2 linked regions of the Arabidopsis thaliana genome follow. The protein of the gene in region 1 purifies or fractionates together with the protein of each later gene. This does not show direct contact. Each region holds a gene or a part of one and is shown on either strand. Other genes may lie near its edges.

What was found.
Region 2: the proteins of AT1G60420 (region 1) and PFD5 fractionate together in Arabidopsis thaliana (co-fractionation; one large-scale study listed by BioGRID). This does not show direct contact.

The regions. Positions count from the first base shown.
Region 1 is NC_003070.9:22,257,147-22,266,748, reverse strand, and holds AT1G60420 (DC1 domain-containing protein), read right to left. Parts: upstream 4,996-9,602; 5' UTR 4,772-4,995; coding exon 4,667-4,771; intron 4,372-4,666; coding exon 3,892-4,371; intron 3,748-3,891; coding exon 3,268-3,747; intron 3,178-3,267; coding exon 2,506-3,177; 3' UTR 2,341-2,505; downstream 1-2,340. Other genes in the region: PANK1 (pantothenate kinase 1), read left to right, coding at 1-96; ARPC3 (actin-related protein C3), read left to right, coding at 1,067-1,069, 1,267-1,375, 1,451-1,720, 1,810-1,952; AT1G60410 (F-box family protein), read right to left, coding at 6,223-6,402, 6,490-6,630, 6,721-7,620. UniProt on the Arabidopsis thaliana protein: Probable thiol-disulfide oxidoreductase required for pollen tube growth and pollen function in the pistil. Seems not to be required for in vitro pollen tube growth. May be involved in the generation of lipid signaling molecules in pistil.
Region 2 is NC_003076.8:7,841,600-7,848,421, forward strand, and holds PFD5 (prefoldin 5), read left to right. Parts: upstream 1-4,481; 5' UTR 4,482-4,544; coding exon 4,545-4,728; intron 4,729-4,799; coding exon 4,800-4,903; intron 4,904-4,986; coding exon 4,987-5,064; intron 5,065-5,739; coding exon 5,740-5,829; 3' UTR 5,830-6,044; downstream 6,045-6,822. Other genes in the region: AT5G23280 (TCP family transcription factor), read left to right, coding at 1,418-2,170; PYRD (pyrimidine d), read right to left, coding at 6,193-6,267, 6,361-6,460, 6,550-6,587, 6,687-6,822. UniProt on the Arabidopsis thaliana protein: Binds specifically to cytosolic chaperonin (c-CPN) and transfers target proteins to it. Binds to nascent polypeptide chain and promotes folding in an environment in which there are many competing pathways for nonnative proteins.

The sequences.
Region 1 (9,602 bases):
ATTCTCAACTGTTCAGGTCATAACTTTCGGCACATCCCAGTAACTTCAAATTTAAACGAAAGCGAGACCATAGAATGTAGCATCAATTTAGTTTAGTTATCACCAGTTGTATTATTATCAATTCAGTGTAGAAATATGTTTAATCAACTGTTTGAGTCAAGAGCTGCTCATTACTAGTTTGTTGAATGTTAGACACATTTATGTAAGATGATTCACGTATTAATATTCATGTATGACCAATGTAACTTGTACTATATATCACACAAAGAATCAAACACACTTATTAAATCTCACTAGAGCTTCTTTAAATCTCGGTTTAGTCCGGTGCATTGCAAGTATTTGTGCATTTCTGTTTAGCCTTTGTTTACTAAGTTTTGTATATTGCTTATGTAACAAGTTTTTATCCATTCAGCAGAAATAACAGAAACTTGACACTTATATGGACATTTTGTTGTTGTTGTTGATTGAAGATCAATGTTTAATCCGGTCAAACCACTTTGATGTAACCCGAAACTGAACCGAAGAATGAACCACATCATTATTTGGTTTTTGATGTACCTAATTCCAGTGGTCGATAAGAAACCAAATTTCAAATAAAAAAACCGAGAAACTCAAAAATCAAAGCTAAGCCGGATTTAACATTGGTTACTCCCGGTACGAAGCAATGTACCACATTCATGGAGTCTTACACGTGTCATCCATACCTCTCTGTCTTCTTCTTCTTCTGTTCTTCATTCCTTTTTCCTACTTCGTCGATTTTCCATTTCAATTTCTTCTTCAGCCGGCGATTAAGCTTCCCAATAAGACAATCTCCGACCGCCGCAACATCACGAAGGATTCTTCACCGTGTGAACTTTACGCAGTCTTTCCTCTTTCGTAGACGCTAAAGAAGTTGAAATTGATCTGATCTCGTTTAGGTAAAAACTTTTTCTTTCTTCATCTATAGAATCAATCGTTCACCTAAATTCTGATTCTTATATATCCAAGATCTTAATTGCAGCAGATCTACCTTCGATTCGATTCTTCTCCTTCCTGATATCGCTTCATTGTTCAAATTCGGCACAAAATGGTACGGATCACCATTTTCTTATCTTTCAATTAGCATTAATCGCATTTCATTTTGTAACTAATGAAATTAGATTAGATCTTCGATGAGATTTTTTTTATTTATTGAGCTTGTTTCACTTTGATTTGGTTCCATGGAGTATTTAACTCTGCGATGCTCATTTTGTTTCCTTAATCCTTGTGATTAAATGCTCTGATCAGGTTTATCACTCGAGTTTTGTGGATGAAGAAGGAGTAACAAAGGCATGTGGTTGTCCATTGCTTCCTCTCAAGAGTCATATAAAAGGTCCTGCACCTGTTTCAGAACAAGGTAATTAATCAAAACATGTGATTTTTTTCAATTGTGCGATCGAAAGCTTTTGTAAATTGTTGGTTTTATATGCAGATAAAACTGATATAGTAGACGAGGCAATCACCTTCTTTCGTGCTAATGTCTTCTTCACAAACTTTGATATCAAAAGTCCTGCTGATAAGCTCCTTATTTACTTGACGTTTTATATAAATGTGGCGTTAAAGAGGCTTGAAGGCTGTAGAACATTGGCTGTTGGAACTAAAGCGATTATCAACTTGGGTTTAGAAGATATTCCTGTTCCTGGAGAAACTGGCTTTCCTTTCCCAGGTCTCTTTTCGCTTCCGCAGTCCCAGGACGAAGCAGGTATATATACATGTCTAAACAACTCTTATTGATTTTTCTTTCAGTTACTTGGTCCTTAGCCTTGTGTTCTGTTTGGCTTCAAATGTCAGAGCTTTTCAGGAACTATCTTAAGCAGGTTCGAGAGGAGACAAGTGGGAGGTTACTGAGTGTAGCATATAGAGCCAACGGGACACCAAATAAATGGTGGCTTGCATTCGCCAAGAGGAAATTCATGAACGTGGTCGTCCTATGATAAAACAGAGAATCACTGGTAAGTATCACTTTAGTTTACTGGATCCAAAATCCCACGTGATCTTAGATCCATCTCAAACAGTTCTACATTTCAAGCTTAAAATGTTTTTCTTTTGATCTGATTTTTTCATAATTTAGCAGCTGGTTATTCTTCCTTGCTTGCTGCCCATTACGAATGAGGGAATCCAAAGCCACTGGAGATCATGAGAATCGCCACCTTTAGCTTCCTCTGCATAGGTGTTAGCCACTGGAACCAGGAAGACGAAAATTTCATCTGAGAGCAGAATGCTCTCTCTCTGTATCTCTTGATATATACATAGAGTGTGCCAATGTATTGTTTCATACAACTCCTGTTGGAATATAAAATTTGTTGATACAAGATCAAAGTTAAATAAGAAGATTCTTTTATTATTACTTTAGATTAACAGAGTTTATCTCCAAGGTCTTAATCAGATATCAGATTGTAACCACACATTCTCACTCTTAGCAATTATACAAAGAAAGGAAATAGCTTTGCATACACATAGTGACATAACTGTGCCTGAAGCTACCTATCAGGCCTTGGTGCATACGTTTCCTTCACAAACCCAACCATCTTTGGACTCGTCGCCACCAACTTTCACAGCCTCATCGCCGTTTTCTTTTGTGTCCTCGTTTAAAGCACACTTGGCGTGAAGATCAAAGTCGCATTCGTCGCAATGGTAAGACCATATTGTCCCTTCTTCCTCACACTTATCGCATGTGTAAACCTGAACACGAGTTAGTTCTAGCTCATGTTCTTCATGGAGAACATGTTTCACCTTCTTAGGCCAATCTTTTGCTATCTCATCGTACTTAGCTTCAATCTCCTTCAAACGTTCCTCAGTAAAAGGGTAAGCATCGGCTCCATGGGCTACGACAAGGTCCCTTGCTTCTTTTGTTACGGTTTGCCCAGTTGGTCCCAGAGCTGCTAGCATTGGGATCCCACCAACCTTAAAGGTTTTTGCCAAGGATGCTTTCCTAGGATCACCAAATGGAAGAGCCAGCCACGGCATTTGCGAATAGTACTCATCGAATGATTCCTGGTCACGGTCACTGGAGATGAAGATCAATTCAAACGCTTCATTCCGCTCCTTTATCTGCTTGTATACTTCAACAAGCTTTGGTGTAAAAGCGCGACAAGGAGGACACCAGTGAGCTGAGAAGTACATAAGAATAGTCTTCCCCACCAGATCCGAAACAAGCACCTAACAAAGAAAGCCAAATTTTTACAGGTTGGTTCAGATCAGCCTTGAAGAACAGTGTTTAGAAAATGAAGAGGGTATCGAGAGCTATACCTTTGCCCCATCTTTTCCGAGAACGTAGTTGAGATCACCTGAGACAAGAAGTGACTCGAGCGTTTGAGCCTCTACCTTTGCCTTTTCTAGCTCCTTGAGTTCTTGAAACTTCTCTGGAGTGAAAGGATACGCAAGAACTCCATAGTCATCAATAGCTTCAGCGACATTCGAGTGACGGGTTTTTCCATCAGGGCCGAGAATGACCAGTGTCGGTAGTGTTGACAGCATGAAATGCCGAGCCAATTTTGATCCACTTTTGTCGTTGAACGGCAATGCTAGCCATGGCTTGGTCTTGAAGTCTTGATTAAAAGACTCCTCATCATCTTCAAGAGATATCAACACAATCTCAAAATCCTCCTTATTCTCCTTCAGCTTCGTATAAAACTCAACAAGCTTTGGAGTAAGCTCTGTGCATTTCCTGTAAGAGGCCACAGAGAAGAGAAGGCCAATGGTTTTTCCCTCAAGCTCTGATACGGGTACCTAATGAATATGCAATTGATCGGTCTCATTAAGTCAACAAAAGAGAAACAGGTCCGTAATAACTAACTAATGCAAGAGTCTTGTATAGATATAATCTTCCTATTGACGAAAAAGAATCTGATCTCACAAGCTATTAATGTGCACCTTGTTTCCGTCAGGCGAAATCACAAAGTCTCGTGAAGGAGTCACCAAGACAGATCTTAAGGTCTGTCCTCTCCGAGCTCTATCTTCATCCTCTTTGATCTCCTTCATTTTCTCTGGTGTGAAAGGATAAGCATCAGCTCCATAGCTTCGTATGACCCCAACACCATTCTCATTCACAAGTTTACCATGATCATCAACCATCACTAGGTTAGGTATTCCCCTAACCTTAAACAACTCATCCAAACGGTCACGGGTTTCCGAATCAGTAAACGGAACAGCGAGCCAGGGCATCTTTCTGAAATAATCTCCAAATGACTCTTCATCCTCATCACCTGACACAAACACAATCTCAAAACCAACTTTCGAAGAGAGCTCGTTGTAGACTTCCACCAGCTGTGGAGTAAACCGCTGACACGGTCCACACCAAGCAGCTGAAAAATACAATCCAATCTTCTTCCCTAACAAGCTGTCAACTTTCACCTAAACATCATAAAAATGCATAAAAAATTAAACTCTACCCAAACAACATAAGCCATGTGAAATAGACACAAGCCAAATCAATAAAGGACCAAGCACTGAATGAATCTTAACACTTGAAAGCAATCGATTAAAGTCATCTATAGCAAATCAATCAACTACACGAAGCTATCTATATTCTGTAAACCAGAAGAGTCGGTTCAAAGAATCGCGAGACAATCACAGGATCGTTATCGAAGATCAGAAGAAGTTGCGATCGAAGACCATAAACTCAAAATCACGTCAAAAACTATTTTACCTGTTCGCCGTCATTACGAACGAGGAAATCCCTCGCCGGAGAAGAAAGAAGCGAGTGAAGATCCTGGGCATCGTCGCCGTTGACTTGCTTCGAGGTTTCGGCCATTGTTTGTACGGAGATCGAATTTGAGAATCGCCAATTACGAGCACACGAAGACTGGTCTGTGTATTCTTTTGAGAGGGCCAAGTAATGCTCAAAGCGTTGTATAAAAGCGTCTCTTTTGAAGTTTTTTTTTCTTCTTAATCCAGAATTAGATTACTTAGCGATTAATTAAAGACCAGAAAATGCTAAAAACAAATGGTTGACCAACCAACACAATTATATTCCGGTTCGTCCATCAAACGAGGTCAAATACAAAACACTAAAAAGTCAGCAGTAGAAATATCTCGATGGGGTATAAATTGGTCAAAATCGAATATTTGGGGTTAATATTAAATATTTACAAAACATTAAGCGCTATCTCGACAATTCACGAGGATCAGTTCCCGGTATTAAACTCGGAAAATCCTTAACAAAACCCTAGCTTTTTGTGCAATTAGCTATTCAGATTGTTTTGTTTTCTGATCTGACTGTTTTTAATCTAATTCTGCTATATATATGGTATGTTCTTTGGGTTATGTCTAAGAAAACAAAAGCTTTATCTTTTTTTTTTGTCTACATTATACTTTCACCAAAAAATAATATATGTCTTATTAATGCGTTTCTTATTTCGTCTAGACTCCATGCGTGATTAGAGGACCACCAACGGTGGTCCCTTAACAAAATTTCTAATGATAAAAAGAATGAAAAATAATTAAAAGGTAAGTGTAAGAAGAGAGAGAGGCCCTAAAATTCTTTATTTAAGGGACAGTCTCGAGAAAATTATATACATGTGTTTTTATTATTGGTCAAATTATACAGAAGCCCTAATAAGATTAAAATATTATTATTTGTATGTTTTTAAGGGATTTTCATAGAGTCCAGCGTTGGGGGTGCTCTTAGTTACCCAATTTGAATGAGCATATGTCCTGTGTACTTGATAGATTCAACCAAATGGTTTGAGATTAAAGGAAGCAATTAAGTATCTAAAACTTTGTTGCTATAGTTTTGTATATTTTACATGTATTGTACACTATAGCAACCTAATTACAATGCATGTGATATATATATAGAAAACTATAGCAACAAACTTTCAACGAAACTTTGACGTTGAATCCAACCCGTAACAACATGGATGAAGTCCAAGATACTTCACTTTTAAGTTTACTCATTGCAATATAGTTTACGAGTAAGAATCAATGAAAGAATATAAAAATTTATAATCAATCCTACATATAGTTGCAACATAGAATTTCAATTTTGTTTTAAGAGATAGAAATTTACTAAAGAACATCCATAAAAAAAAACTAGAAAACATAAAGCCATGTCTAACAAGAAAATCTAAAAAGTCTTACAATAGATTATTTGATAATTAACTGTTGATAGGTAAACTTGATTTAGGAGAGACGACATTATACACATAACAACTTGACACCTTTCAGCATATCTTTGGAATCCTTTTCATTTTCTTGATGATGTTACTGCCCACTTAAAAGCATTTTCGTCAAGCGTGTACACTTCTTCCTAAAATATGTCGCAAGTTTCATTTTACTTGGTGTCGATGGTGCCTTCAACTGAAGAAAGTCGAGAGAGGATAAGACACATTGAGGCACTGGTGAGAGTTTAATCTCCTCCATCTCTGGAACACAGTCAAGTTCCTAGTAACATAAAACTTTTGATAAGTTTTCTTGGGATATGAATCTCAATGTAACTACGTGAAATATAGACAAATAAATGAAACTCACTATGACGAGCGAATCTAGATTCATGCAGCAACTAAGAAAGGCTGGTAAAACTTCCCAAGAAGATTCGACTAACGAAGCATCCAAGCCAAACAAGTTAGAGAATGGAGGCAATGGTCCCACCTTGGAGTAGTCATGGATGGACTGTGTATAGCCAAAAAAAAAGTAAGTCAACACCATATACAAAATTGTACAAGCTTAATGTTATATTTAATCCACCAATCATATGTGTACCTCTAGAGTTCGAGCAGAGATGGTCAGTTCGTGAAATGTGGATAACCCGACGAGAAACTTACGTATCTTAGATATCTCCAATGGATCATCATCCTCAACATCAAACTCAACATCAACGGTTACCTCCGCAAAAGGACCAATTCTATGTATTTTAAGGCTTTCAGGTTTCTTATCACAGATACTCATAAACTCAAGGCTTGGAGAATCGATTTCAACTTTGGGATTGTCACACTCAAAACGCTTAGACTCAAGTCTAAAGCTCTCCAGTGATTGAGAACGAACACATATGACTTCCAAATAATCCTCCGGATGCGGAATCACGGTTAACTCCTCAAGAACCGGACTATGCGATATGAGAGTCTCCAGAACAGAATCACCATCAAACTTGACCCCCTCAAAATACATTTTCTTCACACTAGGTAAAGAAACCGATTTTGATCTTGGATGATCAAAGACAACACAGTAGAGAATCAAATTCACTAAAGTAGCACATGAATAAAGCGAGGGAGGCATCCTAACTAATGCTACATCAACATCCACCATATTCTGAATATTCAGATCACAAACTCCACGCCTAACCACTTTATTTAGCCTCCTCACAAATGGCTCATGCAAGTGCTCATTAGCATCATAAAACATATTGAAGCTCTTCAACTTCAAGCCTAACTCTTCGTGATATTCCATAAAGCTATCTATGAATTCTCCCATGTCGTGTTCACCTTTAAAATCTTGGAAATCCAAATCCAAAACAGAAACAAGCGACCAGAGATTACTCCAACGAGGGGACAAAACGCTAGTACGAACCGATTCCTTGGTAGAGAGATTAGAGAGGATGCGACATAGCAAATGACACGGTAAATCGCTTAACCTATCTTTCCCTGAGACTTCGGTTCTAGCCATGACTTCTCCCGGAAACCCTATATTTCGGACAAAGCTACACTATTAATTTATTATTAATTAATCAAACATAATCCAAAGTATGAAAGAGAGTTCAGAGATTAGGTTAGAGATTACCTAGTAGAGATAGAGAGGAAGAAGAAGAACCTTCAATTTGACGACCAGAGATCTTCTCGCTAGATTTTCTTCCTCTTTGACAGTTTTTATAATAAGTTGAAAAATAAAAAGAGGCTATACGAAACGTGTCGTGAGCGCCCTTTCAAATTTCTTCAATATTTTATTGACCACAAAACGAAACGTTGTGATTTTTTTTTAATTACATTTAATGAACTTTATTGTCAATCGAAATAATGATATGTATTTAATTTACTGTTAATATAAAAGAATACTTGAAATACTCATGATTGATTTTTTTTTTGTTAACTCTTTGTCTTTCAAGAATAAAAGCTCAAATTGTATCCGTTTTTTTTTCTCAACTCTTGTTCAATTCTATCCGTTTCACAATTCACAAAATAATATCGTTTACATTTTAACTAGTTTTCAGATTTTCCTCTTGTCTAAAGCTAAAAGAAATTTTCTATTTAAATCATTATGGTATAATTAGGGGTATATTAAATAAGGGTATATTTGTATGTTTAACTCATTTTTAATGTGTGAAATGTGTCAAAATTACACTTTTTATGAAAGAGAGATACATTGTAAGTTTTAACCAAAACTAGGTAAAATTGCCTGCTAGTCTAGGTAAATCTTATGCTATTTAATTTTATGAATGATCATTTATAATATTTAATTTTATGCTTTCCAATCTTATAAATAATTTTATGTATAATATTTCAAATGACTACATTTTAATATATGTATATATATATATATGTAATGTTTTATATAGAAATGTAAAGTGCATTTAAAAAAATCAAAGCATTAAATGTACATAAATTTCAACAAATCATATATGGTAATAATCAATAGAGATATTTGAAAAAAACTAAATTTGGATATTCAAAATATATAAGAACAAAATAAGGTGTGTTTGAGTAATGGTTTAAAGAGGATAAGGAAAGGAAATATGTGTTTGGCAAATATGATAGTAGAAGGTATCTTTAATTTTGTGCCTAACATATTTAGCCATTTTTTAAAAACAACTAAATAGTACATTATTGGTAATTGAATAAAACAACAACTCACAATATAAAATAGTATAGTTTTTTTTAGATTGCATAAAATCATTAACGGACATACAGAAATGTGGAACGATTTTTATAAGAATAATGGGAATAGGAAATGGTTACGTGGTTAAAGAGAAAGTATATATATTAAAATGTAGTTTCTTGAAGTTTCAATTTTCTAAATTTTGACCAATTTGATATCCCTGAAATGGTCTTAAATACATATTTTTGGAGATGTTGTGAATATAACTTCTCCAAACACATAACCTCTGAGAAAATTGATTCACCACTTGCTCATGGAAAGACACAGCCTCACGTTGCTGCAAAATAGAGAGAGAGAGAGAGAAACAACTCAAAGACAATAACGAGAAGCTAAGCAATTCGTCTTAGAAAGGAAGAAAGCGAAGATAATTGCATTAATGCATATTTATACTACTATTTGCATCATAGAAATCAAAATAAGTATCTAAGAAAAAAGAAATAACTATATATCGAATAATCGAAACGACCCTCCCGTATAGCACTTAATTACTACTTAGTAGAGAAGAAACATTCATTAGTGTATAGATAAGAACCATAGCAAGACATGATAATCGAGGAACAAAACACATATCGCTTCATGAAACAAAATATTCTATTATATATACCATTGTAAGATTCATGATCTATACAATTTTTTCCTGTTTAAAGTTCCGAAAAAAAACAAACAAACAAAAACATCTTCGTTTTGTATTTCTAGATCAGGCAAACCCAAATTTCCATGTTTGCATTTGTTATTTTCCCGCCAAGAAGTGCCAATAGAGATCTCTTTCTTTCGTT
Region 2 (6,822 bases), on another chromosome or scaffold:
AAGGATCAAAAGTTCAAGGTACACAATCTTTTTATAAAACTGCCGACATGATGCCATATCGCTCATGATTGCATTTATTTTTTTGCATTAGCTCACAAGAATGTTAAAAATTAACGATAAGAAAATCCATTTAATTAGGGGGTACGAGTACGAAAATAATTAAAACAAATATTAGCGTTTGGTGGTGCATAACTCAGCATAAGTCATAAAATAAATTGTTGTCACGATATGTGAAGAAAATCTCGTTGCGATGAGACGAACGACATAAAGAAAATCTTGCGTATCTGACAAGTGGACTAATCCACTTATTTTCAATGTCAGTCTCAAAATGGGAGTTATTAAAATTAATGTTCGTTCTTTTTATTTTATACACACATTTATTTTATATATATATTTATATTATATACAGTAAAACCTCTATAAATTAATAACATTAAAACCATAATATTTTTAATTTATAGTACTATTAATTTAAATGTCTTTGGGTATTTTAGTTGGCAAAACTCAACTAATTACAGGTAACTTTCTTTTGTGATGTCGACAAAAGAATTCTGAATAATTTTTAAGGGTTTCGATTTTTGCCATTTCACGTAAAACACGTGATACTGGGCTACTGGCATTTACGGCAGAGTAACTGGTGGCAAATATTATTACCAATATACTATAAACAAATAAATAAAAAGAACAAACACTAGTATTAAATTTTGATTGTTTTATAACTCAATTAAGTTTTGATGTCAAAGTCTACTTACCAATCAATTACCTCACTGATTTGTCTCCTTTTCAATCTTTTCGATTGTTTTATGGAAACAGCTTTCTAAAAAAGATTAATTTTCACGTAATCACAAAACAAATGTTCACATTAGCCCAAATCTAATAACCACATTAGGTTGGTCCCAAAAATTTAAAAACAAAAAAAAACTTTTTTAGACAGAGAGACCAACTTCAATACATTTAGTTTCATGTATTTTAAATAAGATTAGTATCTTCGTGTTAATTTCCAAATTCAAGCTTATAGTAAGTTAGTAATAATGTATATAATGACGTGGCAAAGGATAAATGTCTCTTTAAATGCACGTAGCAGCCGGAGGAGTGACCCACCTACCTAGTGTTAAATTCTCCTGCCGGAGTTTGGTCCCCACGCGACCTTCTTCTTCACCGGAGTAATAACGCGCGTGAGCTCCACCGCGTCGGGACAAAACTAATGTCCTCTCAAAAAAGCAAAAAAAAAAAGAGAAAAAAAACCAGAGATGGTGAGCTGTGTGAAAAGGACCCCACCACACCCATGTGCTTCTCCTTCCTGTCTCCACCAGCTCCCTCCTTCTCAATCATTAGCTTCTTCTCTTCTCTTCTCTCACAGAGAGAGTAATCACAAGCCAAGTGAGAAAAAGAAAACACTAAACCCAGATCGAAAACCATGTCTATTAACAACAACAACAACAACAACAACAATAACAACGATGGTCTTATGATCTCATCAAACGGAGCTTTAATCGAACAACAACCATCAGTCGTTGTGAAGAAACCACCGGCGAAAGATCGACATAGCAAAGTCGATGGAAGAGGGAGAAGAATCCGTATGCCGATTATATGTGCTGCTCGTGTTTTTCAGCTAACGAGAGAGCTTGGTCATAAGTCAGATGGCCAAACAATTGAATGGTTACTTCGTCAAGCAGAGCCTTCTATTATAGCTGCAACAGGAACTGGTACAACTCCAGCGAGTTTCTCAACTGCTTCTGTCTCTATCCGTGGAGCCACCAATTCTACTTCTTTAGATCATAAACCCACTTCTTTACTTGGTGGTACGTCACCGTTTATACTTGGGAAACGTGTTAGAGCTGATGAGGATAGTAATAATAGTCATAATCATAGTTCTGTTGGTAAAGATGAGACCTTTACGACAACACCAGCTGGGTTTTGGGCTGTTCCGGCGAGGCCGGATTTTGGACAAGTTTGGAGTTTTGCTGGAGCTCCACAAGAGATGTTTTTACAACAACAACATCATCATCAGCAACCATTGTTTGTTCATCAGCAACAGCAACAACAAGCTGCAATGGGTGAAGCTTCTGCTGCTAGAGTTGGGAATTATCTTCCGGGTCATCTTAATTTGCTTGCTTCTTTATCCGGTGGATCTCCCGGGTCGGATCGAAGAGAGGAAGATCCACGTTAATGGTTTAAGCCCTTTTAGGTTTGAGGGCAAAATTTGGTATATATATTTATTATCTTCTCTTCTCTATTGTTGTCATTGTTTCTCTATGTGTGTGTTTTAGTGTTGTTAGAGATTGATTTGGTTTCAGAATCTCTGCAAGTGATTTGAGAGTTTTCGTTAGCTTTAAGTAAGTTAAAGACGGTTGTTTTTGATTAGGGTTAAATTAGGGTTTAAGAATCTGTTGTTTTTTTGGAGGGAGATCGATTTCTTATCGGATCCAAGATTACTTTTAGGAAAAAAGGGAAAATTTCAGAAACCACGGTGGTTTCTTTTCCTCTTTTTTTTTTTGTGTCTGTTTTTTTTTTCCGGTGAAACAGAGCCGTCGATTAAAATTTCAGATATATATTTAAATGTTTTAATATGGTTTGTTGTTGTTGTTGCTAATTGTGTAATGTGTTACAACAATTGTGGTGAAGCATTTGCGTAAGCTGTTAACCACGTTTATTTCTAATAAATGTTTCGAATTCATATTGTTCCTTCCTTCTCTGCATTTATTGATACACAAAAAGCTTTATGTGATAGTGATTGTTTCGTTGAAATCGAACCGGATGATGGATTTTTGAACAGAATCATAATAATCTCTTATTTTTTTAGTGGATATATGTATGAATTGTGGATTTTGAGATGCTATTTATTTTTGGCGTTTCGCGTCTTGATTTAATGCAAGAACTGAACAGAGGATTTAGTAAGAAAAAGAGACAAACCAGTTGTGTCTGAATTCTTCAATTTTGTTGCCTTTTTGTTTCATATGAATCTTTGTACTGTGCTTTTGGAAGTTTGGTTTGTCACGTTAGTCAGAGAAATATTAAATTTAAGTACTGTTAAAACTATATGGCGACATGATATCTTTAAATTAATTGTCTATATTTTTGTTCTAGAAACTGTTACAATTTGAAAGATTAAAGGTGTTAGAATTGTCTCTTCTCTTGTTTGAGATTAGCTATCTAAAAAAATGTGGGTGATACACTCGAACATGAGTTCAAATGGTTGTTTTAATTTTGGCAAAAACCATTTTCACTGTTGTAATAATTTGGACTATCAAAAAAGTAAATTTTATTTTAACCCCTGATATAGTATAATTTCTTATGCAAAGTATATTTAAGGTACAAATAGCATAGATTCAATGATTTCGTTTGTGGTTTTCACAGCTATATATCTGCTGAGTAATGTATTTAACCAATAATTTATTTATCACGATAATACCTGATGAATAAATGTCAAAGTGATTAGATAGGCTTCTTTAGACTATTTAGGTCACACTAACCAATCAAAAGAATCAAACAAATTTTCTCATTAAAATAAGAATCCATTAATGGAAAGATCTTAACAAAAAGTTGGTGTTTTTTCTTTCTTAATTAGGTCTTAGTAATTAACACTTAGCTATATAATGTAATGCAAATAATTATAGGTGGGGGATCTTTGTAATCAACTCGTATCAATAAAACATCCGTACCTTTTATTGTCGAATCATCTAAATGACCCCAACACCAATAATTGATATGGTCCCAATTATTTTCTACCGAAAAATAATTTCTATAGGCTGGCAAATAATTCATATACGAGTCTTTATTTTTCATATACATATTTCGCATTTTGGACCGACACATGTAAATAAATAAATAGCCTCTCATTCACCTCACTCTACTAGCTCTGTGCCGTGTTAAATTAAATGTACTGTCAAATACTTTATGGTTCAGAAAAAATTGATGACTAAACATTATCATAGAGTATCAAAATTTGATTTTCAAAACTGACTATAAAAACAATTTTATAGCAAAAATAAAATAAATTTTAGTTGTTTCTTTTAAACGTTAAAGCATGTTCATTTTTTCCTAGTTGCAGATTCTACAGTGATCAATTTGGGATCTATATTAATTCTATATAAGACCCAAAACATGTAAGAATATTAATTTTATGTGTTATTTGTTTAGTTACAAATGTAAAAATACGCAACTAATTAACTATTTCATTTGGTTACATTTTTTTATAAGTATGACAAAATATAAGCAAATTAAGTATTGTTTGAATTATAAGCAAATATTTTTTTGTTTCAAATTTTTTCAAAATATAGGTAAACTATTAAAAATTGTTTTTTGATTCAATTTTGTTTTAATTTTTATTTGAATCAAAGCATACACTATTTTCTTCTTTAATCATTTAAGGCCTCGAAAATGTTAGAAACAGCTTAAATGGGCCAATATGGGCCTTATGACTTCATCTCTAACGCTGAAGTCTGAACTCCGCTTAACGGGCCATCACACACTTCGTCTCTAACCTTTTGAAGAAAGAGTTTGAGCGCATCGCAAACTCGAAGGCGCGACTGTGAGAGAGAAGAATGGCGTCGTCATCATCGAGAGGAGAGATGGAGAAGATGGGAATCGATCAGCTAAAAGCTTTGAAGGAGCAAGCAGATCTGGAAGTGAATCTTCTTCAAGATAGTCTCAACAACATCCGTACAGCTACCGTTCGTCTCGATGCCGCCGCCGCAGCTCTCAACGATCTCTCTCTTCGACCTCAAGGTTTTGTTTATTTCACCTCTCCTTCTTCAATTTCAGCGATGGATGATTATAAAACAATTTGAAAATTGTAGGTAAGAAGATGCTTGTACCACTGACTGCTTCTCTATACGTGCCTGGGACACTTGATGAAGCTGATAAGGTTTTAGTTGATATTGGCACTGGTTACTTCATTGAGGTAATAGAAAACTTCAATAAGTAATTGGATTATTATGACTTTGTTCTTGTGTAGCTCAAGTGTTTTGCTGCATTTTTATGTAGAAAACAATGGATGATGGAAAAGATTATTGTCAGAGGAAGATCAACTTGCTCAAATCCAACTTTGATCAACTTTTTGAGGTAATATGTATTCGCAATTAGGATCATTTCACTATCTTAGCAACTTTTAAAGGCCTGATTTGGTTTTTAGATAGATTCTGAGTGAAAGGGAATATGTATTCGAATGCCAGTGAGTATGCCTTAGAACTGTACTTTTAGGTATTGAAGGCCTACACTTTTCCTTCATACGGCTTATTGAATATGCCTTAGAACTGTCCTTTTACTGAAGGATAACACATTTCTCATAACATTTACGAAAATTGTGAATGAGCAAAGTGGATAAGATTTTTTGAATTGAATGGAGTCTGATTCTGTTACTAGGGGTGAATCTTTGTGGACTTCTTTCACTGACTTGATCCATTGTATAAAAATGTTTGAGGCCTTAAAGTTTTATGGAATGCAAGTACGTAGTCAGAAAGCCCTTTGGTTGATCCTTTCCTGCATTGTCAAACACTCCCTAGTCCCTAGAGCCATACATGATACACTAAGTAGAGGTCTGAGTATTGTTTTCGTATAAAGCAAAATTCAATGCTATGATCTCACGTTTCCTTTCCATTTGCTTCAATAGTTATTGAAATCAAGTGCATCATTGCCAAATTGTTTCAATACTCTTTTATTTTGAAAACCCTATTGTTACTGCTGTTTATCTCACCTGAGATTTTAGTTATAAACTTCAAAAATGTTCATTCAATGCAGGTCGCAGCGAAAAAGAAAAGCGTGGCAGATGAAGCTGGAATGGTCTTGCAGGCCAAAGTTAAACAGTTAACAGCTGCAACCACGTCGTGAAAATTATTCCTTCTCTAGTGCTTTTTGCTATTGAGACTATTTTGAGATTGCAAATGATTTTGTCTGATCAGTTATGTTTTGACTCTTTTGATCTCAATCGGCTTGTGTTTAGTGTGCTAGAAGAATTTGTGCTGTAATTTTAAGTAATCAGTAGTGACTATGAGAAAGAAAAGACGTGTTAACTAGTTATTTCTCATAAAACGTGAGAAAAGAGACAAAAGCGATGATGTTATTGGAGGCAAAAACGATGATGTTATTGTTGGGGGTAGAAAGAGACAACTGAATCAATGAACTTTAAATACAACTTGTTTTGTTGTTTTAAGAAAAGGGATCTTTCCGCAGCGTATTGCTCTTTGAGTTTTATCATCTGTGATCAGCACCAATTGCTTCATGGATCGACTTGAAGCCATCCCTTTCTAAGCATTTCACCAGTTCCTCCTATTGCAACAACAAGACATGAATATTAGTATCAATCTGACCTCAAAATACAGCATATGTATGTTTTTGTGTTCTTTATGGGGAAGGAGATACCTTTATTTGTGGGATGAGGGCAGGTCCTCCATAGGCAAATCCCGTGTACAGCTGAACAAGAGTAGCTCCAGCTCTTATTTTCTTGTAAGCATCCTCACCACTAAAAACACAAAAGATTCACCTTAAATCATTTTCTTGTGTTTCTTTTGTTCTTACAACTAAAGCATCAGAGGTATGTTCGACGTTTACCTACTAACCCCGCCACAGCCTATCAATGGAATCTTTCCCTAAGGAAGAGAACATGAAAATATCCAAAAACCCATCAGAAAAGGTTTTAGTTCATTGGTCGATTAGTGGATCATCTTTTTTTTAGGATAAGAACTTACTCGTGTCAAAGTGTACATATCTCTCAACATGTTGGTGGAGAGAGCAAAGAGCGGTTTCCCGCTCAAACCACCTGTTTCTGTTGCCACGGGGTTGTTGCTTACAGCATCAGGCCTTGAGACTGTTGTATTTGATATG